4 linked regions of the Drosophila melanogaster genome follow. Changing the gene in region 4 together with the main gene of any one other region gives a genetic interaction. Each region holds a gene or a part of one and is shown on either strand. Other genes may lie near its edges.

Region 1 (7,585 bases), on a different chromosome or scaffold from region 4:
GTTCGGCATTTTTAATCGGTCCCCATACGATACCATATGATACCAAACCATACCATCCATTCTCATCTCCTCGTCGCGTTTAGTCTGTCCCCACTGTGTTTGTGCGCGCGGCTTCATTTGGTTATAATTAAAATGTCGATGTTATCAGCCAGATTTGGACATATTGGCCATTACGTTCGAAATTTAAGCGTTTTCTATGCGCGTATTTTGGATTTGGATTTTTTTTTTTTTTTTTTTTTTTTTTGATTTCGATTTCGTTTGGCTTTTTGTTCTGTCTTCGTTCGGTGTATTAATATTTAATAACGTTTTAAGAAGCTTTCGAGTGTTGTTAAATGCTTATTTATGCTTTTCGGCCGTGTTTGGTGTGTTTGTTTGTTGCCCAGTGTGTTTGAATGGATAATTATGCGTGAAATCGAACGTATAAATTGTATTTGTTGTCAAACCAAAGCGAGTCTATACAAACCGATTTCCTGGTCATATATTTCTGTTTGTTTATTGCCGAAAGAAAGTAAACGATTCTTCATTATTTCTTGCACTTTTTATTGGTTTCTCACTCAGCGGTTGACCATTTTAGTTTTTTTCTTTTATTTGAGCCAAAAACACTTAGTCTACGCACTAAATATCAGTTCAAACGCAACCAACTCAAGAATCAAATCCTTAAACAATACGCATTCATAAATAGATTTGGCTTAGGACTATTTTAAAGTTTAAAGTTACATATAGTTAGATATTGCATATGCTATAGCCTTAAATGGTGATGAGGTAAGTCGGCAGCCGGCGAATGAACAAGTATTATAGTATAATTATGCATAACTATAGGGTATACAATGGGCATGTGCATTTCAAGTGGGACAAGCGTGTTCGTATCGGGTATTAGTTACAATTTCAGCTAATCTTAAGCCGCCCATTATGTTGTTGCTGCTGCTTTCTGCTACATTTTTCTGTTTACTTTTTTCTATTTTTATTTAGTTTTTTTTTTCTTTTTTCTAGCGACCCCGAACCGCAGCCAAGTAGGTGAGCAGCATTTTAACTTTGGTTTTTCGATTTGTTTGCCCACTGTGTGTGTAGTCGCTTCTCGTATTTCAGTCCACCAGTTGCAATTTCAAATGCAATTGCAATTGCATCAGTAGTTGCTGTTGCTTTTGCTGCTTTTGTTTTTGTTGCCACTGTCAATCACAGAGGCGCGCACAACTCAGGTTTTCAATTAGACTTTGCCGCCGCCCATCTAGACCAGGTGGCCCTTGTCGCCCATGTCGCCCATCTAGCGGTCATGCTTTAGGAATTGCAACGTGGCCGGCGCATCGGAGGATGACAGGCGAGCCACCTTTGCCGCCGTTGCCGCCGACGACTCAATTTCACCATCGGAATCGTCGTGCACGTTGATCTCCTCATCCGAGTCCGATGACGAGTTGTCCACCGTCATGGTTGAGCCGCCAGATTGAGTGGTGTTGGTATTGGGTCCCGTGCCCTCACCACCGCTCCCCAAACCACCTGCGGAGTAGTGCAATCTGGAGCGCTGCTCCTCGGCGACCGTTAATGATGCAGCCACGGCATATTGCCTGGCCAATCCCAGGAAGGCAGCCGCCGAGGGCGAGCTCACCAGACTCCTGAAGGCACTACGCTCCCCGCCCATGGAGAGGTGATTCGCCGCCGGATTGCATCCACTGGGTGAGAGTTGCTGTTGTTGTTGATGATGTTGCTGCTGCTGCTGCTGATGCTGCTGCTGTTGTTGCTGTTGCTGCTGCTGGTGGTAGTGGCTGAGCAGCTGGAGGGCAGCTGGATGCGTGGGTAGGTGCAGAGGATGATGGTGATGGTGGCCGCCCGGAGGACCATGCAGTGGGTGTAACAGCACCGAAGGTGGCGGACCCTGTGGCGAGTGGTCACCGCACAGGGGCAACGGCTGCTGAGGTGGCGGCACGGGAGCCACTGGAGCGGAGGTGGAGGCACTGCTGTGGTTACTGGGCGTGGGCGAACTGGCCGGTGCATCGTTCGACTGCTGCGAGTGCAGCGGATTGGCGGGACTGGAGCGCTGACGCTTCAGGAGATTCATGCGTTGGTGGCGACGCCATTTAGCCCGGCGATTGGAGAACCACACCTGGAAAGGGTAGAAATAAATGATATTTAATAAAGATTAGTTATTTGAGGTTTTGGTTAATTGGCTTTGAAAGAGGTAACTCTAATTTCTGATATAAAAGTATTGATTTACTCATTAATTTAAATCAAATGGTATGTAACTACTTTACTAGCCACTTTTAATCTTGCTTTTTGAAAGTTTTGAGTGAAGCCTTTGTTTTCACCTGACTCACCTGAACTCTTGCCTCGCTCAAGCTGGTGCGACTGGACAACCGCTCCCTGGTGCTCACACAAGGATAATGACTCTTGTCGAACTCCTTCTCCAGCTCCTCCAACTGCTCCGGACTGAAGGTGGTCCGATTCCGCCTGAACTTGGGCTCATCATCGTCATCCAGATAATCGGAGTCTATGTGCCGGTTCTCATCCGCTGATTCCAAGGTATCATGGCTGCCAGAGCCAGGGGAGATGGCCCGATTGGTTGGTGTGCCACCTGCTCCGCCGGCCATCAAGTGCGCCGAACTGAGGGAGCCACAAGTGGAGACGGGCACAGCGCTCGCTGCACTCGGAGGCAGATTGGCGAGCGTGGGAGCGGCAACGGACCACAGGGCGGATGGAGGTGGCGGTGGTGGTACCCCCTGGCCGCCGGGCACATTGCCGGCCGGATGCCAGGTGAAGCTACCGTACGGATGAGGGGGTGGCGGGTACAGGCCATAGGCGGCGGTGCGAGCAAACTCGGTGGCCACCCGCTCGGCGGCTCGATTGCGCAGGATGCGATTGATGCTGCTCACCGATGGAGCGGTGGCATTAGTGCAGACACCTGCAAGGCGGGATTACGCAATTACCGAGCAGTCGAAGATCGAGATCAAAAGCTAAAAGCGACCGCCGATCAATCAGCGTTCAATCTGCGTCCGCGGATTAGCTGCAATTATGTGGAACACTCACCCTCCGAAATCAGGCGTTCTCGTATCTCCCAGGCGAAGATCGTTGGATTCTCGCGCTTGTACTGTTCGATCTTGGAGACGACCGTCGGCGTGGCCACCTTGGGCTTTGAGCCACCAATTAAGCCCGGTGGTCGCAGCGAGCCTGCAAGAATCAGAGCACAATTCCAGTTAAATTATGAGACAATGGATTTATGACTTTGCCAGCCTGGTTTTGGCAATCCATCTGTTTTTGGCTGGCAGCAAGGATTAACCCTGGTTGCTAATATCTTTATCTGCTCGTTTCATCAACATGTGATGTATGGAAAATATGAATGGGAAAACAATACAAGCCTTGGCAAATACACTGGTAGAAACCAGAGCAGCTCAAGAATTGGAAAACTTAAAAATGAGTGATTTTAACTACTTAAAGTTACTGTAATGACGGGTTTAAAAGACTTAAAAAATTCTAAACATGGAATAAATGTGATCACATATCCTTATTTGGAATTAAGCATTTTTTTCTTTCAGTGCACGGCAGCACGCACCAACCAACACTACCACCAAGGAATACCCGCTCGTGAATAAGCCGCATTTTGATTAATGAGCCAGCCGCGTTTTGGCCACCGCCAGTCAGGAGTTTATGCAATTTTAAGTGGCCAAATTACACGGCTGCGCACACGAGGGATACGCCACGCAGGGGATGGTAGGGGCAACTCGCAGGATAATAACATGTTTATCATAAAAATTAGCAAACAAATCGAAAACAAAGTACCCATTAGTTATCTGATGAGGGAAGGAACTGAGAAACTGAGCGGTCGTCCCTTTCAAGGGCTCACAACTCACCTAGCAACTTGGAGACAGCTCCCTGCTGGGTTAGCATGTGCTGGGCAATGTCATAGCCACGCAGTCCACCGAAACGTGAGAATTCCAGGAGGCGATGCTGTGACATCAGGGTGTTCAATGTGCTCCCCGTGGGTCCACCTGCACCGTGCGGAATGCCGCCAGTGGAGCCGCCGCCGCCAAAGCCGGGTGGTATTTGCACAGATGTGGGTGATGTGGATGTGGCCCCTCCGCCACCGGCTACCGCTCCCGATCCCGCTCCGGCCGCCGCTGCTGCCGCTGCCGCTGCTGCTGCTGCTGCTGCTGCCACGGATGCCGCCGCTACTGCAATTGAATGATAATTGGGTATTGTTATTTTATTGTGGCTTTAGCTGTCGCGGCCACAATGGTTAATTATGATAAATTAAGCGTTAATTGTGTTGACCGAACCGAAATGACTGATGGGTCCTACGAATATATTAGCGTTTCTATTACCCCAGCAAATGTCTAAGCTGATCGAATGGCCAAAATGGTGGCGACACGCAATCGAATCTTCCAGGCACGAGCAGATTTATCAAGCTAATTGATACGACAATGATCTCTTAGTACAAAAGGCGAAAATTAAAATATGTACTCAGCTGGATACGAAAAGAAAGCAAAAAACAAGTAGAAAAACAACTGTGTATTACGTTAATTCGACAGAATATTATATTTGCCTTCGCTTAAAAAACCTACATATATCATTCGGCTTGGGCAACTCGTCGCTCAAATTGTCAATTAGCGTTTTAAATGCGCGTTTCACTTTTGTTGTTTGTCAAGTAAATATTTTTAAAAAAATACGCGCACCTCCAGTCGTGCCTAACTGAATATACATATATGTAAGTATATGGGCCCATAATCAATTGTGCCGCCCATCAAATGAGAACCAGTTTTGTTTATTTCGGTCTATTTAAAGGTGAAAAGCAAGGAAATGGGACTGTCAAATGAGCCACGCAATTGGTAATGTGACATGCGTAACGATTTGTGTTTGTTTTAACTGAAGATTTAAGTTGGAATAACATAAAACATTTGTTATGAACATACTAAGTACGAACATGACAAATTTTAATCGCTTTCTTATAAATGGCCCACATTGTTTAAACTAGAAATATTATAAAGGATCACACTTATTTTATCTTCTGTTTAAGAAAATAAAAAGGCACTCAAAGTTAGTTTTACATAGACCTTTGTATGATCAATTTGATAATTTACATAATTTATCTACCATATACCATTTAAATAAAAAATTGTTTGTTTTACAGCGAAAAGTTAACACCAACTATATTCAAACTAAATGGATCTGGTTAAGAATTACACATAAACACATTTGACCCAGTTTGATACTTTATTTAATACTTTAACCGAAACACCGTTTTAACACACTAATTTAAACGATGCTTAGTTATTAGTTATACATAATTTCAATAATAGATTTTAGGTTTTATCGCGAAAGAACTAATTTGTTTAAATTAAAATTCGAACATTCCGGATTTGCTATCGAATGACATATTACACCTTTGACCCAGTTTCGGATTTATTTTTTGAAGATTTGTGTATATTTTCTTAAAATCCCCAAGCCTGGCTTTGCCGTCGGCAAGACTTCACATGGGCACTTTGGGGCACTTACCACTGGAAGCGTGAGGGGCCAGCGATGTGATGCGTTGGGGATGGGGCTCCATTTTCCAGTGCGCGGCCGAGAGGCCAGAATTAGCGACAGTAAGCGAGCCAAGGTCACGGTTTAAAGTCGGCTCAATCAACATGTCTAAGAATCGCTCTTTCCAATTCTCTTTATTATTTATTGTTATTTTATATTTGTTTATTTTATTAATTTTATTTGGGTATAACACAATCACAGTCACAAGTGTCGCACATCCAAGGCAGAGGTATCGATTATAGCGAATGCAACCGGAAACGGAAATGGAAACGCAATGCGGTCAATTGGATTCATAGCGTGCTGCTCACTCACACACTCGCATACACACGCACACAGATACACACACAGTGACAAATGCACGACAGTCGATCCCGACAGAAACAGTTAGAAAACGCTCCTGCGTATCTCTTGCTCTTATTTTTATTATAGAATTTGTTTTTATCGAATTTCTTGCGAACACTGCGCTCCGTTGAAACGTTGTTCACGCGAAAGCTGCTCTCAGCACAATGAGCGCTTGAATTTCACCTGGTCACCCGGGTCACTCCGCTCCACTCGAACAGTTTCACTCCGCTTTTGAGTGCTTTTCGAAACGCCAACCGGTTTACGAGTACCGTACTTTCATAATGGCGCCCGTTGAGGCAAACTCTTGCTCTCTCGCTCTTCTGCGCGAGAGCGGGACAACCACATGCACACTATGCGCGCACACAAATCAAACAATTATAAACTCGTTGTTGGTAAAGTGCTGAGTATAAACAGTGGCAAGAAGAAGAAGAAGAAGCAGACGAATGAAGAGCAGTGAGTGTGAGAGAGAGCGAACGCTTTGGGGAAGTGACAAGAAGAAGAACCAGAATAAGAAGAGAAAGAGGAGTTGGGGAACCCTTTAATTTTAACTACAAATGTAGTTGGGATACCATAGCACGTTTGAAGTCAACCTTTAGGTGCATTTCTCGCCTAATGTAATATTCTAATTGATTGAATTAACCGTACAGCTTAAATTGTACCATTTAGGAACATTTAGTTCGTAATCTTTACTGTTGAGTAATGCATTCAATTTATCGTTACTTTAAGCCAGAGACCATGGCCCCAATAAGTAGGCACTTTCAAATACCAACTCTTGATTATCATATCGATCTGTGTACAAATGAGCTACATTTACAAAAGTTCATGCATATGTATAATCTCTAACAATTAAGGCTAAAGACTGAAAAGAAGTTTGGCTTTTTGCTTACACTTCTAAAATAAATAATAATAATAAAATATTTTATTTCGAAATTATTAAAATAGCTGTAATATTGTATCAATAAAATGGCAGTATGGTATGTTTGTTTTACTTTTTATTTGATTCTACTCAGGAGAAAGACAAAAAAATATATATAAATAATTGGTAAATAATACCTCAGCAAAATATAAACATTAGCATTATAATAAAACAGAAAAGCATTAAATTGCTTCCTTTTTGTGGACTTCATAACTACTATTCCGCTTTTAAACTGACCAATTGCAATTAAAACTCGATTTTTAAACATAAACTTATTAAAAGAAGATTTAAGCCTGAAAGTCCTTTTTAAACAAACTAAATCGTTTATTGCATTGAAAGATAACATAAAATGATCGCTAAATAACAATAACTAAAATGCCTGCAATTTAAAAGAGCTTAGTAGCATATAGCCATTTGAAAGGAATTTTAATCCGGTCAAATGTGCAGTGAAGTGGCCAAATTGCATCCATTGCGATCCAGAGTGAACCTTGGACACGTATAAATCGCATGCGTGGCATGGGCCGTTTGCCATTCAGGTTTGCACTGCCCGTTTTGGGTCGTTGTCTCCCGGCCTTTGGTGCGTGATGGATGATTGATGTGCTGCCTGGGCAAGGCAATCCGATGTGAATCGAAACTGCAACTAAACTACACATGGCGTGATCGGGGAGCCACACAGATCACAGCTCGCAGCTCGCAACTCTCAGAACAGAACGGGGCAGAAACGGGCTACACCAAGTGGCAGAGTGGCCTGCACAGAAGCCAAATTGCATCAAAGCCCACGGATTGAGTGGCTCCCGGCGATGCAGGATTCGAATTGGAAGC
Region 2 (4,816 bases), on a different chromosome or scaffold from region 4:
CGCCGTCTCATTTTAATCACTCATACATACATACATACATACATCTGCATATGAAATATACGTGCATATGTATAATACCAATAAGCATGTGGCATATAACTTATAGCCAAACACCTACGTTCACTTTTGGCTCTTTGCAGTGCTTCTCTTTTTTGAAAGACCCACGAATTTTGTACGAATCGCGTAAACGCGTTTATTTTCCCTGCCCACAATCACACACACACACACTTAGAGATAGTGGTGTGGGTTGAGTATCTGCGTGTGCGTGTGTGTGTGAGTGCGCCACTATTCGTTCATTCACAAATTGTGTTGTTGCTGCCTTGGCATGCTTTTGCTTTGTTTTTTCTTTTTTTTGGTTTTTTCTCAATTCAGTTTTGTTTTGTAAACACACACATACACACCTGGATGGAGGCGCACACAGATACACTGACACCTCGGCAGCTGCGCCACACACACAACCGCACACACGGTGTGCAAAGAGAGAGAGAGCGCGCTCTCTCTCTCTCTCGTGCATCGGCATTTCAAGTTCAGATATCGTATCTGTGAAGTTGTTTTGCCGGCATTTCGATTCTCACGAGCGCAGAGAGAGAGACCGAAACTGTATCTGTGTGCGAGCGAAACGTGTGTGTGGTATAGGTGAGAGAGTTTATCCGACGATTTTATCCGGGCCTTCAATGCGGCTCAAAATCAGTCAACTGCGATTTTCTTATAATGCAAGTTGGCTTATATGCATGTTAGACAAAAATAACTTCATGGGTACAAATGAAAGTCTAAAATTAAACAAATATATATTTTAGATCATTTTGTAGCGCTTTAATTTTTTTGCGAAGTTAAACAAAAAAGAGTTCCAATTAAGAATATTATATTATTTTTAAAAGAAAATAAGTTCAAAGCCAAGAATTATTAAAAACTAGACTAATTAAATTTCAATCAAAAAGTATTGAATTTACATTTTTGCTTTAGAGAATGTTTGAGTTTTAAACTGTAACTAAAAACGCTGCTATTACTATTTGTAAAACATTTTAATAAATTATATATTTGAAATTGTTTTGTAATTGTTTCTAAGATTAGAAGGCCCTTAAAGTCGATAAAGTACTAAACGCATAAATCAAAATTTTTTGGCTTCTGAGCAATGTAAGTTTAGTTTAGTTTAGAACTCAAATGAAAATGAAATGCTGTATTAAGAAGAAAGGGCTCAATTAAGTGACATATATTGCTCGAAGGATGCGAAAAGTGACCTAAAAGCCGGCCAACTTCCCAAAGGATTCAACGAGCGCTGCTTCTATTTGCCTTCGCCTTCTGCAAGACAGTGGAAAAGACATCCGCTTGGATTCGGATTTCGTTAGCTTATCTTCGCATTCGATGTTATATAACGCCAGTCGGTGGAAGTGGGAGGTGCCTATTCGGAGCTCGACTCGCAACTGGCGACCCAAAAGCGCCAAATGCAGCCGAGTGCCCCCATTGGCATAGAGTTTTGAGCAATTAGAAGCCCACGCAGCCATAAACAACAACTGCTCGGGCGGGCGGAGAGTGGGAGGAGAAGCTCTTCGAGCAGCTCCCACCGAGAAAAGCGGAACACAAAAAAAAAAAAAAGAACTAGAGAAATCTCCACTGCACGTGCTGCTCTTTCTCGCTCTCTCGCGACTTTATCCGGCGAATGAGAGGCCAACAGTCGGCACTAACACACAGATACCGCCGCCTGTTTGCCTCGGTGTGGGTGTCTCTCGGTGCGATGGTATTGGTGCCTGGTATCGTCGCTGTACGAGTGGCGACTCTACTCAGAAGTCAGTTTCTTGCTGGGCAGTGTCGGTTCAGGTTCATCGACGCTCCGCACGCGCTGCCGCAAATTCTTCAGTGCTGAATAACCAAGACGCGTCTTTTTCGGACCCAAAAAAAAAGAAAAATATATAGAAAATATATCCGAACGTAACGTAATCTTCGCAGTGCGCTTACAGACTCCCCCTCCAACCCGCCACACAAAAAACTCTCTTTCTCTCTCTCTCCGCGAAGAGAGTTTCAGTGGTTGGTTTGGATAGGTCTTGGTGGTTCGGTGTTGCCGTCGCTGCTGCCGAAGCTCTGCCGACGCCGACGACGACGCCACGTCGGGAAAACCAACCTCTTGCAGTGAAAATCTTTTCGTACGTTTTCGTTATTTGTTATTCGCACGTTGACGCGACGAGACCGCGAAACACGACAGCACGAAACTGCAGCCCAAAACTGCAACTGCAACTGCAACTGCAACAATAACGATCGCGCGTGCAACAACAGCAATTCGAAATCTAATAGTGGCAAGCTGCAAAGTATCTAAACGCCTAGAAATCCGTAAACTAAACTCGCCAAATCATTTAAAATCAAGTGAAAAGTGTGTGTCTTAACAGCCCATTAAGTAATATAAATCAATTAAAGCCGCAAAACACACAATAAGCCAAACACGCAAACGCAGCATAAGCACAAATAATACATAAAAATAAAAGAAGTGTGATATTTTGATATTAGCAATTAGAGTTTACACAACGCAGCCTAAAAAATATTTGTTAAATGTGTTTTGCCACCCCGAAGGCAAAAGCTACAAATTGGATAATGCTTGGATAATTCCCCTCCTACAAAAAAAAAAAAAAAAATTAAAGGTGAGTTCGCGAGATCGCTCAATTTGCCGACGGCTTAGTCATTTGGACAGCCGAAAGAAAAAAAACTATAAAGTGCCATCTCAGCTGTGCTGTTTGGTTGGTCGAAATGTGTCAAAAGCTGAGCTCCAGTTACGAATAGGATCGGTTTACCATAACACTCAGCGTAATATCAGATCGGCGGCTATATGCTATATACATATGTACATATGTATGTGTGTGCTGCAATCGATTGCACCCATGAATGATGGACTGATGATGAGTCCATATCAGCACGGGCCCCCTCCAGTGGCATCATCCACATCATCATCATCATCATCATCATCATCATCCCAATCTCATCTCACTCCCATGCCATATTGACTCTATCTATATTGACGTCAATCGCAGCAGCAACTTGACATCGCCGATCTGCAGATCGTGTGCCTGGCAAATTGACGCACACAAAAGCGAGTGAGATAGAGAGCCTGGTAGAAAGATAGTACTAGGACCCTTAGCCCCAGTTTCCTCACATCCAGTTGCAGCTCCAGATTCCCACTTCCAGTTTTAGCCAGTCTCGGGGAATTTTAATTGCCCATCTTGGCCAAAAGCAGAGCTGGGCTGCACTCCCTCTCTCTATCTCTCTCTCTCTCTCTCTCTATGTGAACTATGCCAATTGTCTACACCTGAGCCGAAGAACTGCCCGTCTGGCTGACAAATTTGTATGCACGCGCTTCAAAAGTGCAATATTAATTAATTCCAGCAACTCGAGACACGGGCAGCAACAACATCAACTGATCTGTATGCAACAGAAGTTGCAAGTTGCTAGTTGCTAGTTGCTTGTTGCAAGTTGCTGGTTGCTAGCGGTTGCTACTTAGTCGAGGCAATTAAATCGTATGTCATTCATTGGTAATTTATACCATTTACAGGCATCTGCTCGATGTGGTTGGTTCCTTAAACAACAGTTCTGCGATAATAGCTCCGCGATGTTTTACACTTGCCCATTAGCATAGATTACTGCATCAAGTGCTGGACCAAAATCCGTTTGCTTTGCTTTTGACCTGTCTGGCAAACGCCAAACGCCAATAGCCACAACGCTTGATCGATCGCTCTAAACCGATTTCGATTCCGATCCGATCCGATCCGATCGGCGATAAATGCAACTTGCCATGAAAAGTGCTGCCTTAAATGGGCATTAGGCTATTGCACATTTCTCAATATGTCGAGTGATTTTTTCTCTGCTCCTCCAACGCGGCTGACTTATACGCACCGCACCTTATATGACGAACGGCGACGTCTGCCGCTGTCCCACTGCATTTGGCATATAAAACAGACGGAGCCACTCGGTGGCTTCCATCGGTGGTGCAGTTGGGGGGCAATGGTGGCGATGGTGTCTCAGGTGGTTCGCTGGTTGGAGTCTCACCCGCACGACGCCATTTCTCAGACCCCGATGTCAATGGCAATTTGCATTTTCCACACAAAAGCACCTAGGTGCTCCTGGTGGCGGCTCCCTTCCCTAGAAACAGGGCGGAATAAAAAAAAAAAAAGAAAATAACGCCATATATACTGTGTTTGGTCGAGTTAAGGTCCCTGGTTCAGTGGTTAATTTATTTCTGACACAGCCTTAAATTAACAATTTTAATACAAACAACAAAAGAGCGCGCATTGAAATTGAGACGTTGAGCGAAATACAAAAAAAAAACACAAAAAAACTCAGAAAAAATACAAAATAAAATAAAAAACAGTGAAAATGCACACAATAAAGGGAAAAAAAACAAAAAGCTTAAAAGGAAAAAACATAAAATAAATTTACAGCAAAACAAAAGCGTGTTACAGAACAAAGGAGACGATTTTGGGGAGCAGTGAAAGAGGAATGTGTAAAGTGAAATAAAATTCTGGCGCGTTAATTAACTTTAAACGATTGAAAACGAATTGATTTGGAGAAGCCATTTGATTTGGATTAGTCGTGCCCGATTCAGAAAAAATGCCACAAAAGGTTGTGGAGGTGGACCCCCAGCTCAAAGGGGTCACAGCTTTTGGCCAAGCTGCTGGGCTGAAAATTAAAATTCAATCATCACGTGTGCGTTAAAAGAGACACACCATCGGCCATCTAACAATCAGACAGATCATTGGAGTTGTTAATTGAAATGCGTTAAACAATAAAACAAAGACTGTCATGTCTGTCACAGTTGCCAAGTGACTTAACACCTTTG
Region 3 (4,225 bases), about 15 Mb from region 4:
GAAACTCCTTTCTTTAGTTTAACGTCATAAAGTACCTTTCCAGTGGCGCTACTGCATCCGACTGGAGAACCTCGGCGAGCTGAGCGTGCAGCTGCGCGAGCGCCACTGGCGCATTTTCTCACTGTCTGGAACCCTGGAGACGGTGCGCGGAAGAGGAGTGGTGGGCCAGGAGCCCATTCTGAGCCCCCGGCTGCCCGCCTTTCAGTACAGCAGCCATGTGAGCCTGCAGGCTCCCAGCGGCCATATGTGGGGCACCTTCCGGCTGGAGCGCGAAGACGGATACTCCTTCGATTGCAAGATTCCGCCCTTCTCACTGGAGAGCAAGCCGGACGACCTAGGGACGCCCACACCGGCCACGCCCAGTGCCCACGATAAAAAGCGCGACGATAGCGATTAAGAGGCAGTTGTTCACCCGTAGTTAAATGATTTTAAAACGCAATCTTTTCTGACAATGCATGCGTACATGTGTTTAGTGCAAATTACAATAATCAACAAGGACGCAGAGCCAGTTTTGATTCTCAGCCAAGTCGCACGGTCTTTGGTTCTAGCTGAATGGCAAAGTCAAAGGGTCTCCGGTTGTCGCGGGTGTCAAAGATGCTCTGCAGAGCGTCGAGTGCCGCAGTCTCTGTGGCTGTTTTCACATCTTCACCGAATCCCTTGCCCAGTAGCTGCCGGTTGGCGTAGATGCCTACTTGGTAGGCGGCTAGCACAGTGTTCTTTCCGCAGTCTCCAAGCAGGCGGGGCTCCGCTTCGCCCAGCTTTCGCTCCTGGCATATCTTCTCCAGCAGCTGGATTGGTTCCTGGGGAGTCCACACCTCCAACAGGTCCTTTTGATTCAGTTGCGTGCAGATGAAATCGCGTACAAAAATGAAAGCCCTCTCGATTCCACTGGAACTGGCCAGGGCGCCAATAACTGCGTGTAAAGATTTGGCCTGACTTTCGGCCGAGGGCGGGTATTCCGTAGACTGTATCAGATCCTTTGTGCCCAGGTGGGTCGAGACGTGAGCAAGCGTTTCGGTGCTAAGTAGATAACTGGCGATCGCCTGGAGTCCTTCATTAGGGACCTTCGGTAACTGGTGCTGCAGGAAGGCCTCAACGTAGGCACGGGCAATTTGTTGGCCCTTCTCGACCAGATCGCTATTGTGAGGCATCTGGAGGTCAGACTCCTCAATGCCTAGCTGCCGACGACGATCCTCCTCCCGCTCTGCAAACGATTTCTCTGTAAAAGCACGCTGCAGCTCCGACAATTCAAAGGATTCGCCCAAACGCTTGCCGAACGCGAAGAGCTCCGATCGCTGGTTCCACTCCACGAACCCAGAACGCCGCTCTGGCTTTTGTGGTCCTAGTTTCTTCTGCCGGTGGGCGAGCTCACGTAACGTTGGCGAAACCCATCGCTTGATGTGGCGCCTCGTTTGCACTGCCGAAAATCACGATTACTGACTGGCATTAGGTGAATCCGGGTTACTCACCAGTCGGTGAGCCCTCCAAGAGCTTGACACGAGCCAGGAGACCAACAGCACTGCGTAAGAATGACATCTTTAAAGCGATCTTAAAAATAAGTAACGAATATGTTTTCGCGCATGGGAACTAGTGTTGCACGGGTTTTTGTGGCAGTGATGGCAGTCTAACCGTAAATATAATTTTATAACTTATAACTTAACTTATACATTTTAATAATATTTGTTTCTTGTTGTTTCTATATTTATTCAGAGATGTATAATTAAAAAAAAATAATAATAACTAAATATGTTTCTTTATGAATTATAATTTTATCATTTAATCGAGTAATTATAACGAAAAATACTTTCAGCTTTTTATTTAGCGTTTTGTAGCTAAAAGGCGCCAGTACTAAATTGCGTTGGTGGCACCCGCTCGTTTTCCAACACTCCCGCAATAGACGCCATGTACATGTCTGTGTTTGTGTATGCGCCAAGAAAATTTAAGTCGCGGAATATTAACAAGGAATCCCTGCCAGAAACAGGGCATTGAGAGACCACAGAAGAAAATATACCCAACATGGCACTGCAGACATACGGGGACAAGCCGGTGGCCTTCCAGCTGGAGGAGGGCGGCGAGTACTACTACGTGGGCTCGGAAGTGGGCAACTACATGCGCCACTTCCGCGGCATTCTGTACAAGAAGTACCCGGGAATGACCCGCATCGTCCTGTCCAACGAGGAGCGCAAGCGGCTGGCTGAGTCCGGCCTCAGCTCCCACATCTTAGCCAGCTCTGTATCGCTGCTCCGCGCCGTAGAGGTGGATGATATCATGGCCGGCAACGATGAAAAGTAAGTGGGCGTCTTACCTAAGTAATGTCCCCAGAATAGTAACTAAATAGGGCCTTTCCTAAAAATTCCAATTAACTTCGTTGATATCTACTTCCTACTAGTCCTACTTAAACGTTTGTTTTTAAATGTTTAATCCAATGGTATCAAGTAATCCTTTTATCAAATATAAGACATGTGTACATTTGGCTGAAGATTCTTCATTTTAGTAACATTGTTAATGACCACTTAGTTAAAAACCACTTATCATTCTGAAGTGAAGACGTATACAAACACACATAGCCACACACTGCCCAGTTATTTTGAAAAAATATGGAAAAATGTCATAGACATTTTTGGCAAAGCTGCCACAATAGTCTGTATGATTGACAACGATTTCCAATTGAGCACGGAGAATTGTATTATTGTCAGAATGTTGGGTAAATTTTGCCTGCTTGCAGGGCCAATCAGTCAATTTGCTAACAGTTGATTTAACTAACCATGAATCTCCGTCCCAGGTATCGCGCCGTCTCCGTGAACACTTCCGATACGCCAGTGCCGCGGGAGAGCAAGTCAAAGAAGCAGCCACAGTATGTGCCCACGATGCCGAACTCCAGCCACCTGGACGCAGTGCCACAGGCCACGCCAATCAACCGAAACCGAGTGCACACGAAGAAGGTTCGCACATTCCCGATGTGTTTCGACGACACGGATCCCACGGCTAGCCTGGAGAATGCGGCGCAGAAGGAGTGCCTGGTGCCCATTCGACTGGACATGGAGCTAGAGGGTCAAAAGCTGCGCGACACCTTCACGTGGAACAAGAACGAGAGCATGATTACTCCGGAGCAGTTTGCCGAGGTGCTGTGCGACGACCTGGACCTCAATCCCCTGCCCTTTGTGCCGGCTATTGCACAGGCCATCCGACAGCAGATCGAAGCCTTTCCCAACGATCCCCCCATCCTCGAGGAGACCTGCGACCAGCGGGTCATTGTTAAGCTGAACATTCACGTGGGCAACACCTCGCTCGTCGACCAGGTCGAGTGGGACATGTCCGAGAAGAACAACAACCCCGAGGAGTTTGCCATTAAACTCTGTGCGGAATTGGGATTGGGAGGAGAGTTTGTTACGGCCATTGCCTACAGCATTAGGGGTCAGCTATCGTGGCACTGTCGAACGTACGCCTTCAGCGAGGCCCCTCTATCAACGATTGATGTGCCCTTCCGGAATCCCAGCGACGCTGACGCATGGGCGCCATTCCTAGAGACGCTTACCGACGCCGAAATGGAGAAGAAAATCCGCGACCAGGACCGCAACACGCGCAGAATGCGACGACTGGCCAATACCACAACTGGTTGGTGATCTTCCGCCGATCCAGCAATGTGTCACTAATGTAATCCTCCTATTAAGTACCATTATGCATCCCAAATAAATGTGTGTCTGTCGATTTTAAAACCTATTGTCTTCTACGCGCTACTTCCAAAAAAAATAGTTCCAAACGATGTTACAAAATAAGCTGATACTCTTTACTGCTTACGCTAAACTCGAATCCTTATTCTACATTATCCAATACTAACTTTCTGCCGAATCGGGCTTGTCTTGGTCCTGATCGCCGTCGTAGAACTCGTTCTTAGCATCAACCAGCTTGTCCTCATCGGCTACGGATATTCGCACGTCGGGATCACTCGCCTCCTCCCGGTTGCTGCGCAGCTCCTCCAAGTCCACATCAGGCGGGGTCTGCACCATTTGGACGCTGGGCGAGTGCTGGCACATCTTAAGGTTTTCATACACATGCTTAACGATGAGTTCAAGATACTGCTTTGAGTTAGCATTATCTTGGCGTGAGTTAATCTCTGGATGGAGTGTAAAGTCGGGGGCGAAAAAGTCGTAATACTCGGTGGCGGGTAGGTCATTTTCAATGTCTTGGTCCACCAGCAGCGAGGTCTCGTGCGTCCAGCAGCGGG
Region 4 (7,900 bases):
GTCTGCAGAAAAGTGAGTACCTTGGCTGGGAACCGGTTTCGCTATCTGCGATGCTGACCGCCTCCTGCTTGCTCGTTCTCTTCCCCGACAGCCCTCATGGACACCATTCAGATCGTGCAGACGCTGCGCAACTGCCTCCCAGCTCCTCACATACCCGTGTCGTCCTGGAAAAGTGAGAGCGAGGGCAACGTGGGATCAGGAGTGAGCGCGGGAGTAGGAGTGGGTGTCCCTGCAGGACTTAACCTGGGCGCCGCCTTGGGTCTGCCATCGGGCAACATGCACTAGATGCGGGCTGGAGCTCATCGGGTAGCATGCAATAGCTCCGGATTTATCCACTCACATTCTTCCAGCAGTTAGAGAACACTTAGTACTTACACGCAGAGAAAAGCATAGATGATAGGCATAGCAATTTACCCTCGTAGGCGTGGCTCCAGTTTTCCTTTTAGCAATTACGTGCCATGTTCAACACAAGACTTGATTTCACATTTTCCACATTTGACTGACCTTTAGGCATACATATGTATCGAATCCCGCGGCTTGAATTTGATTCCCATCACTCTTTGTTTTCCAGTTTGGCATGCAAAATTATGAAGCAAATCGGCAAATTAGTTAAACAATTGGCAAAACGTCTGTGATATTTGAATTATGTTGGCAAACGGAAGACAAAACTAAATTTAATTTATTACGTTGTGTGCCCTCTGTTGTAATGTCTTACTTTTTACTTTGTGCAATATCTACTAAGCATATATTCTTAGCCGTTCTCGTGCAATCGACGACTTTTCGCCCATATCAAAAGCAACTCGAATGTAGCCTATACTTAAACTAACCTACTGATAATCGGACATGATAGACGCGTAAGACTTACATTATATTTTGCATTAGGACTTCAGAGTATCTGAATAACAATTGGCGGATGGCCGCGGTGGCGAAAGCGACATTACGAGTTGTGTTTAAATTTAAGAAGCTGAAGAAGGGTTGTACTCCGCATGCAAGGGCTATTTAAATATATATTTTAACCCGCCCGAGCTCACCATTACCAGAAATTCGATAAACGAGCAAACAGTATTATACGCAATAAAAAGACACCTGCAACCATAAGTATTTACCTAGCTGATGTGTGGGAATTTATCGTAACATACCATATTATCGCTTAATGTTTAACTTCTGGACTTAATAATAAATAAATATTTTATTCTACGACAAAGAAGAACTTTTCAATGTAACATTATTAACTGCTTTAAGTCATATCCTTAAACTTTCGCCTTGAAAATCTTTAAAACCCTACAGGTATTCCAAATTAATAATCTCAGGTGCTAGAAATTTAATTAATATATTTTGGAAACAGCATAAATTAGTGAAAATACAACATTGTTTTAATCAAACATTTTTAAAAGCATGTTTTCGGTTGCAAAGTTTTCCAATTTCAATCCTGAAATTAAAGTTGAGTTGAACAATTGCTATAAAAAGCGACCATTTATTACGTTTTATAAACTGTCCCGATTGTGATTTTAGTTGTTTATTTTATTTCATATTTAAAACCGTTACTATTTTAAAAATCGTTCGCTAAAGATTGTGCTTTTAAGCATTGATAACTATCGCTAATTGCCAGAATTCGTAATCTTATTTGACTTGAATTGTAAAAATATAGGATTTAGGATTTTTACCAAATAGATGTAGTTCAAAGAACACAATTCTTTTTATTATTAAGCATTTTATTTTGGGAGTTCCTTGCACTAGCTTTTTGCAGCGACCTGTGTGTAAGCTTACATTGAGATAACATTAATGTGAACGTGCAGCGAATGCAGCACTATAACATTGGCCAGTGGAAACATGATATTTGCTAGCATGCTGACTGGCGCCGTGGATTTTGACGTTCTTAGTTGACGGTCACACAGCGCACCGAGCTGCGTTTTTCGTTGATAATTTTTAAATTTATTTATTAGTTTATTGGTTGGAAATAGAGCTGCCCCCAACTGCCCGCTGACCACGGAATTATCGGTCCGGTCCACCGACCTCCGCTTTCACACACTATTCGGCAATCGATATATACGCTGACGGTAATTGGAGAACGTTTTTTCCATTTTATCTCCACCTTGTCCGCACTTCGTTTTGTGCTCTCTTTGTGCGCTGCCTCCGCTTAACATTTGGGCCTGTAAGAAACACATATAAGCAGAACGGCCCGCCGTGTGTGCCTGTGAAATTGGTTAAATAACGTACAGTGGAATGGGCCAATGGCCAAAATGCAATAAGAATATGTGTGTGCAATAAAAATAGGGAACGGTACCGTGCCCCAAAACATGAAAATGGTGCTAGACGCTCCTAACGCCGTGCCGAGCTGGCATATTTTGCTTAGCGACGCCGTCGGCTCCGTTTTTCCCGGCCGCGAACTTTGCGCGAGGAATTTACAACAAAAACAATGAATTAAATGGTATTTAAATTGTCCATATAATGCGGTTTGGAAATGCGAAATTGTGCCTAACTTGCCCAATGCAAACGAATGTTTCTCTTTGAAGGCCCTGCTTAATGACGTCACAAGCGTAGCAGAGTGCAACAGACAGACAACAATGACCGATGAGCATAAAAGTAACATTAACAGTAACAGCAGTCACTCCAGCAACAACAACAACAACGGCAGCAGCAGCAATAACGACAACAACAGCAACGACGACGCAGCAAGTAGCAGCAACAGCAAAAACAACAACACCAGCAACGAGAGCAGCCACAGCAACAACAATACTAGTAGCATAATTGCAGAGGCGGCCGCCAAGTTTCTACTGAAAAATGGCCTAAACGGCAGTAGCAGCACCAGCTACCCCCCTCTGCCACCGCCTCTGCCCGCCAACTTAAGCAGGACGACCACGCCCACGACAACGACAACGCCCTCATCCTCCAGCTCCACCGCCTCAAATGGCTTTTTGCCGCATGCCAAGACGCCCAAAAGTAGTAGCATTATGGCTGCGTCCGCCGCAGTGGCAGCCAGCGTCGTTGGAGCTACTGCGTCCAAGCCCACCATCGATGTCCTGGGGGGCGTCCTGGACTACAGTTCCTTGGGCGGAGCTGCAACAGGCTCACTGCCCACCACTGCAGTAGTAGCGGCGGCAGCGGGAACAGCGAAGATCGGCAAGGGAAGCAACTCCGGCGGAAGCTTTGATATGGGCAGGACACCAATATCGACGCACGGCAACAACAGCTGGGGCGGCTACGGTGGTCGTTTGCAGTTCTTTAAAGGTAAGTATCTTGGTTTATTTATACCGAATCAGAGCAGTGTAAAGAAAACCATTTTTTAACTATTCTGCGTAGATGGCAAATTCATATTGGAACTGGCGCGGTCCAAGGATGGCGATAAAAGCGGCTGGGTTTCGGTCACGCGCAAGACCTTCCGCCCTCCATCGGCGGCCACCTCCGCAACTGTGACCCCAACGTCGGCGGTGACCACAGCGTATCCAAAGAACGAGAATTCCACATCGCTGAGCTGTACGTAACACATGGCATAGTAGTTCCCAACGGATTACCCCTTCCATTTAATTACTTGACCCGATTGGAATCAGATTTGAGTAAAAGGAATTGGATTTTGAAACATGTGTAGATAGCTAGCTTAATCCGAGCGGTCAAAGCTTACAAACACTTGCAGTTATAAAAAACATGTGCCTATTTGACTTAAATTGTTCTAATGGCACGTAGAGGATAAAGTCCAATTTCGAAAACAAAAAATCTGTAAAAAACGACCGCACCTATGTTCAAATCTCTGATCTATTTTAAAACTGTATATATCGGCCATCTCTAATATTATATTTAAAATCTACGAAAATGTCAAACGTTTTAATGAAATAGTAAGAAAAAACCAAACTGTTCAGAATCGGTCATGTTCTTTGTATGACAGTTTTCCAATTCGATCCTATAAAATATAATGTCCTCCCATCCTTGTATACATTTAAATCCTATTTCATAAATTGTTAACAATCTGAATCAAACAAAAGCAAATATTTATTTATGCCAAACTATAATTAACTACTACAATTTGTCTATGTATACCTTGCGTTAATATTCCTCTTCATTGCAGTTTCGGACGACAACAGCTCGATACAATCCTCTCCTTGGCAGCGAGACCAGCCCTGGAAACAGTCCCGACCCAGGCGCGGCATATCTAAGGAGCTGTCGCTCTTCTTCCACCGCCCCAGGAACAGTACGCTTGGCCGAGCTGCTCTCCGGACAGCCGCTCGCAAACGACGGCGCCCCCACGAGCCGCTTACCACCAGCGAGGATCAGCAGCCCATTTTTGCGACGGCAATCAAGGCGGAAAATGGAGACGATACTCTTAAAGCAGAAGCTGCAGAGGCCGTTGAAATTGAAAATGTTGCTGTGGCGGACACAACCACAAATGAGATTAAAATTGAAAAACCGGACACGATCAAAGGCGAGGATGATGCTGAACGGCTCGAAAAGGAGCCGAAGAAGGCGGTTAGCGATGATAGCGAGTCAAAAGAAGCATCGCCCGGTCAGCAAGTGGAACCACAACCAAAAGATGAGACTGTTGATGTTGAGATGAAGATGAATACGAGCGAGGATGAGGAACCCATGACAGAGCTGCCCAGAATCACGAATGCCGTAAATGGTGATCTAAACGGCGATCTAAAGGCGAGCATTGGGAAACCAAAATCCAAGCCGAAGCCAAAAGCCAAGCTCAGCAGCATCATTCAGAAACTCATCGATAGCGTACCAGCACGGCTTGAGCAAATGTCGAAGACATCAGCTGTGATCGCATCGACAACGACGTCTTCAGATCGCATTGGTGGCGGTCTAAGTCACGCCTTGACGCACAAAGTAAGTTTTACTTGGCACAACCTGCATAAGCTGCGGTTTCAAATGTTAATCATGTACTGCAACATTTTTATTATGTTAAAGTTGTAAATCTAGTTAGGGACTTTCATAAAGAAAAAACTTTGAATTGACCACTTAAATATCTTCTTTTAGGTTTCTCCACCCTCTTCTGCGACAGCAGCCGGACGACTAGTCGAGTACCACACCCAGCACGTGTCGCCCAGGAAAAGAATCCTGCGCGAGTTCGAAAAGGTGTCGCTAGAGGACAACGGATGCGTAAACAACGGCAGCGGTGGAGCTAGTAGCGGTGGTGCTGGAGGAAAACGGAGTCGAGCAAAGGGAACTTCGACATCGTCTCCGGCTGGCAAGGCGTCACCAATGAACTTGGCGCCACCCCAAGGAAAGCCAAGCCCCAGTCCCGGCTCCAGCTCATCCAGCACTTCGCCAGCGACCTTGTCAACGCAGCCAACGCGGCTCAACAGCTCTTACAGTATCCACTCCCTGCTAGGTGGGAGCAGTGGCAGCGGTAGCTCATCCTTCTCCTCCTCTGGCAAGAAGTGCGGCGATCACCCGGCAGCTATTATCAGCAATGTGCACCATCCACAGCACTCAATGTACCAACCCAGTTCCTCGAGCTATCCACGCGCCCTGCTCACCTCGCCAAAGTCGCCCGATGTGAGTGGCAGCAATGGCGGGGGCGGAAAATCGCCCTCGCATACAGGAACCAAGAAGCGTTCGCCACCGTACTCGGCGGGATCACCCGTAGACTATGGCCACTCCTTCTACAGGGATCCCTATGCGGGAGCAGGTCGTCCTTCCACATCGGGCTCAGCATCGCAGGACCTGTCGCCACCGCGCTCTTCCCCAGCATCGCCAGCCACGACGCCGCGTACTGTGCCCAAAAAGACTGCATCGATCCGACGCGAGTTCGCTTCACCGTCGGCCAGCAGCAGTAGCTGTCCCTCGCCCGGCGACCGGAGTGCATCGCCCCCGGAACGGCGGCACATGCAGCAGCAGCCGCACCTACAGCGTAGCTCGCCGCTGCACTACTATATGTACCCGCCACCGCCCCAGGTGAACGGGAACGGCTCGGCCGGAAGTCCGACCTCGGCGCCGCCCACGTCGAACAGCAGTGCAGCTGCAGTAGCGGCGGCAGCAGCGGCCGCAGCCGCATACATTCCCTCGCCTTCGATATACAACCCGTACATATCCACACTGGCGGCGTTGAGGCACAATCCGCTGTGGATGCACCACTATCAGACAGGAGCGTCGCCCCTGCTGTCGCCACATCCACAACCCGGTGGCTCAGCGGCCGCCGCTGCTGCAGCTGCTGCTGCGAGATTATCGCCCCAATCGGCCTATCACGCGTTCGCGTATAACGGAGTGGGAGCGGCTGTTGCCGCTGCAGCAGCTGCGGCAGCCTTTGGACAACCGGCGCCCAGTCCCCACACGCATCCGCACTTGGCCCATCCGCACCAGCATCCGCACCCGGCTGCACTGACCACCCACCACTCTCCCGCTCACCTGGCCACGCCAAAACTGACTGATAGTAGTACCGACCAAATGTCTGCAACGTCCAGTCATCGCACAGCCTCCACTTCGCCGAGCAGCTCGAGCGCATCGGCCTCCTCCTCGGCGGCCACTTCGGGCGCCAGCTCCTCCGCAATGTTTCATACTAGTAGTCTAAGGAATGAACAAAGTTCAGGTAAGCATTCAATCAGTGCACCAATAATGGCAAGCAGTTTGATGATTCAATTTTCATTCCTCTGGGAATGTCTGAAGAAAATATATTACAGATCCATTTATTATGTTGTCAATTTAATGCACGTAAAACACAATTTAATAACGTTTCTTATTTATTTCTTCCTTAGACTTACCACTGAATCTGTCAAAGCACTGAGACATACACACGCCCCAGCTGCCCCAGTTTCTGGGCCAACCATTCGAGTTAAGAACATTTTCGCACTAGTAGCGCTTAAGACGACATTCAATACACGTAATATAATTTGATAAGTTCGCTGATAGTTTAGTTGTAACCCGATTGTTTAATCCTAAGCCTAATCCTAGGTTCTCAATTAGGGCCGAACATTTAGAAATCGCATACAAAAAGAGATGAAAAACTCAACTTTGTTTTTAAACCCGTTCCAGAACTCTTTATACAATCAGTTGAGAAATTTTATTTTCGACAAACTGAATAAAATATGCAAAGGAATTTTATTCTATGCCGACTAATGGAAAGAAATACTAATAAAAACATTTTCTATAGGATGTATAAAATGCAAGTCTTAAAGAATCTCAAAAAAGAGTTACGTTTTTTTCATCAAAACATTTCCTTGAAACAGACTGAACCTGAATTTTTTTAGAAAAAAAAAATGAAAAACTTAGTTACGAATCGCAAAATATAACATTTTAAAGTATATTTAACAAAACTACAAGAACAGATTTTTATAAAATGCTTGTGCCTTTAAAAATGGAAACAGAACTAGGGATACAAAAATTAATATTAAAAAGAAAAAGAAGTTTACTATAAAAACATTTATGTGCAAGCATGTGCAGGTATTCTATGGTGAAAACTTTAGAATTTCTTGATATCGTGGTCCAAAATGCAGTTGACAGGAATTTGCACTAAGCAGATTGTATACGACACCAACTTTTTAAGTACTTTTAAAAATGTATCTTTTAATTATTTCGGAATAATTATTCTAAAATAGTTAAAAGATAAAAGCAATCCAAAACTATACAACTCGTCTGTACTTCAAAACGAAAGAGATTACTCTTTGGTCTTACATTTTTTGGTAGACTGTAAAAACTAAAATTCGAAAAAATTGTTGAAGTTTGAATTTAAATCCTCGGCGGATCTAAATTTAACCTCCACGATTGTTGTCACCATCAAAAATATTATATAACTGTGCCTAGTGCACATTCGCTGTCAGTGGCTGTCCAATCAAAAACAAATAAAATGTACAAAAAATCCACATATACGACAAATTTACAAGAAACGGAAAGCAAAAAGATCCTAAGCAGACAATTTCAAACCGGAACTCGTACAACTGAAACTGATACAAATAAAAAACATATTCCT

What was found.
Region 1: of H (region 4) and eyg, changing one suppresses a phenotype caused by changing the other (phenotypic suppression), as found in Drosophila melanogaster (2 studies listed by BioGRID).
Region 2: of H (region 4) and klu, changing one suppresses a phenotype caused by changing the other (phenotypic suppression), as found in Drosophila melanogaster (2 studies listed by BioGRID).
Region 3: of H (region 4) and Snr1, changing one suppresses a phenotype caused by changing the other (phenotypic suppression), as found in Drosophila melanogaster (one study listed by BioGRID).

The regions. Positions count from the first base shown.
Region 1 is NT_037436.4:12,462,008-12,469,592, forward strand, and holds eyg (eyegone), read right to left. Parts: upstream 6,015-7,585; 5' UTR 5,612-6,014; coding exon 5,479-5,611; intron 4,158-5,478; coding exon 3,837-4,157; intron 3,157-3,836; coding exon 3,016-3,156; intron 2,891-3,015; coding exon 2,307-2,890; intron 2,096-2,306; coding exon 1,262-2,095; 3' UTR 530-1,261; downstream 1-529. Other genes in the region: CG32102 (uncharacterized protein), read right to left, coding at 7,150-7,416.
Region 2 is NT_037436.4:11,006,161-11,010,976, reverse strand, and holds the start of klu (klumpfuss), read left to right. Parts: upstream 1-1,788; 5' UTR 1,789-2,627; intron 2,628-4,816.
Region 3 is NT_033777.3:5,469,043-5,473,267, forward strand, and holds Snr1 (Snf5-related 1), read left to right. Parts: upstream 1-1,883; 5' UTR 1,884-2,016; coding exon 2,017-2,288; intron 2,289-2,782; coding exon 2,783-3,623; 3' UTR 3,624-3,712; downstream 3,713-4,225. Other genes in the region: POLDIP2 (polymerase (DNA-directed), delta interacting protein 2), read left to right, coding at 44-397; mRpL44 (mitochondrial ribosomal protein L44), read right to left, coding at 519-1,417, 1,470-1,536; HDAC3 (histone deacetylase 3), read right to left, coding at 3,834-4,225.
Region 4 is NT_033777.3:20,620,071-20,627,970, forward strand, and holds the start of H (hairless), read left to right. Parts: upstream 1-1,867; 5' UTR 1,868-2,425; coding exon 2,426-2,428; exon of another isoform or gene 2,429-2,513; coding exon 2,514-3,228; intron 3,229-3,300; coding exon 3,301-3,474; intron 3,475-4,060; coding exon 4,061-4,821; intron 4,822-4,971; coding exon 4,972-6,523; intron 6,524-6,689; coding exon 6,690-6,718; 3' UTR 6,719-7,900. Other genes in the region: CG5466 (uncharacterized protein), read left to right, coding at 1-12, 92-285. UniProt on the Drosophila melanogaster protein: Is a potent antagonist of neurogenic gene activity during sensory organ development. The expression of distinct cell fates by the trichogen (shaft) / tormogen (socket) sister cell pair depends on the level of H activity.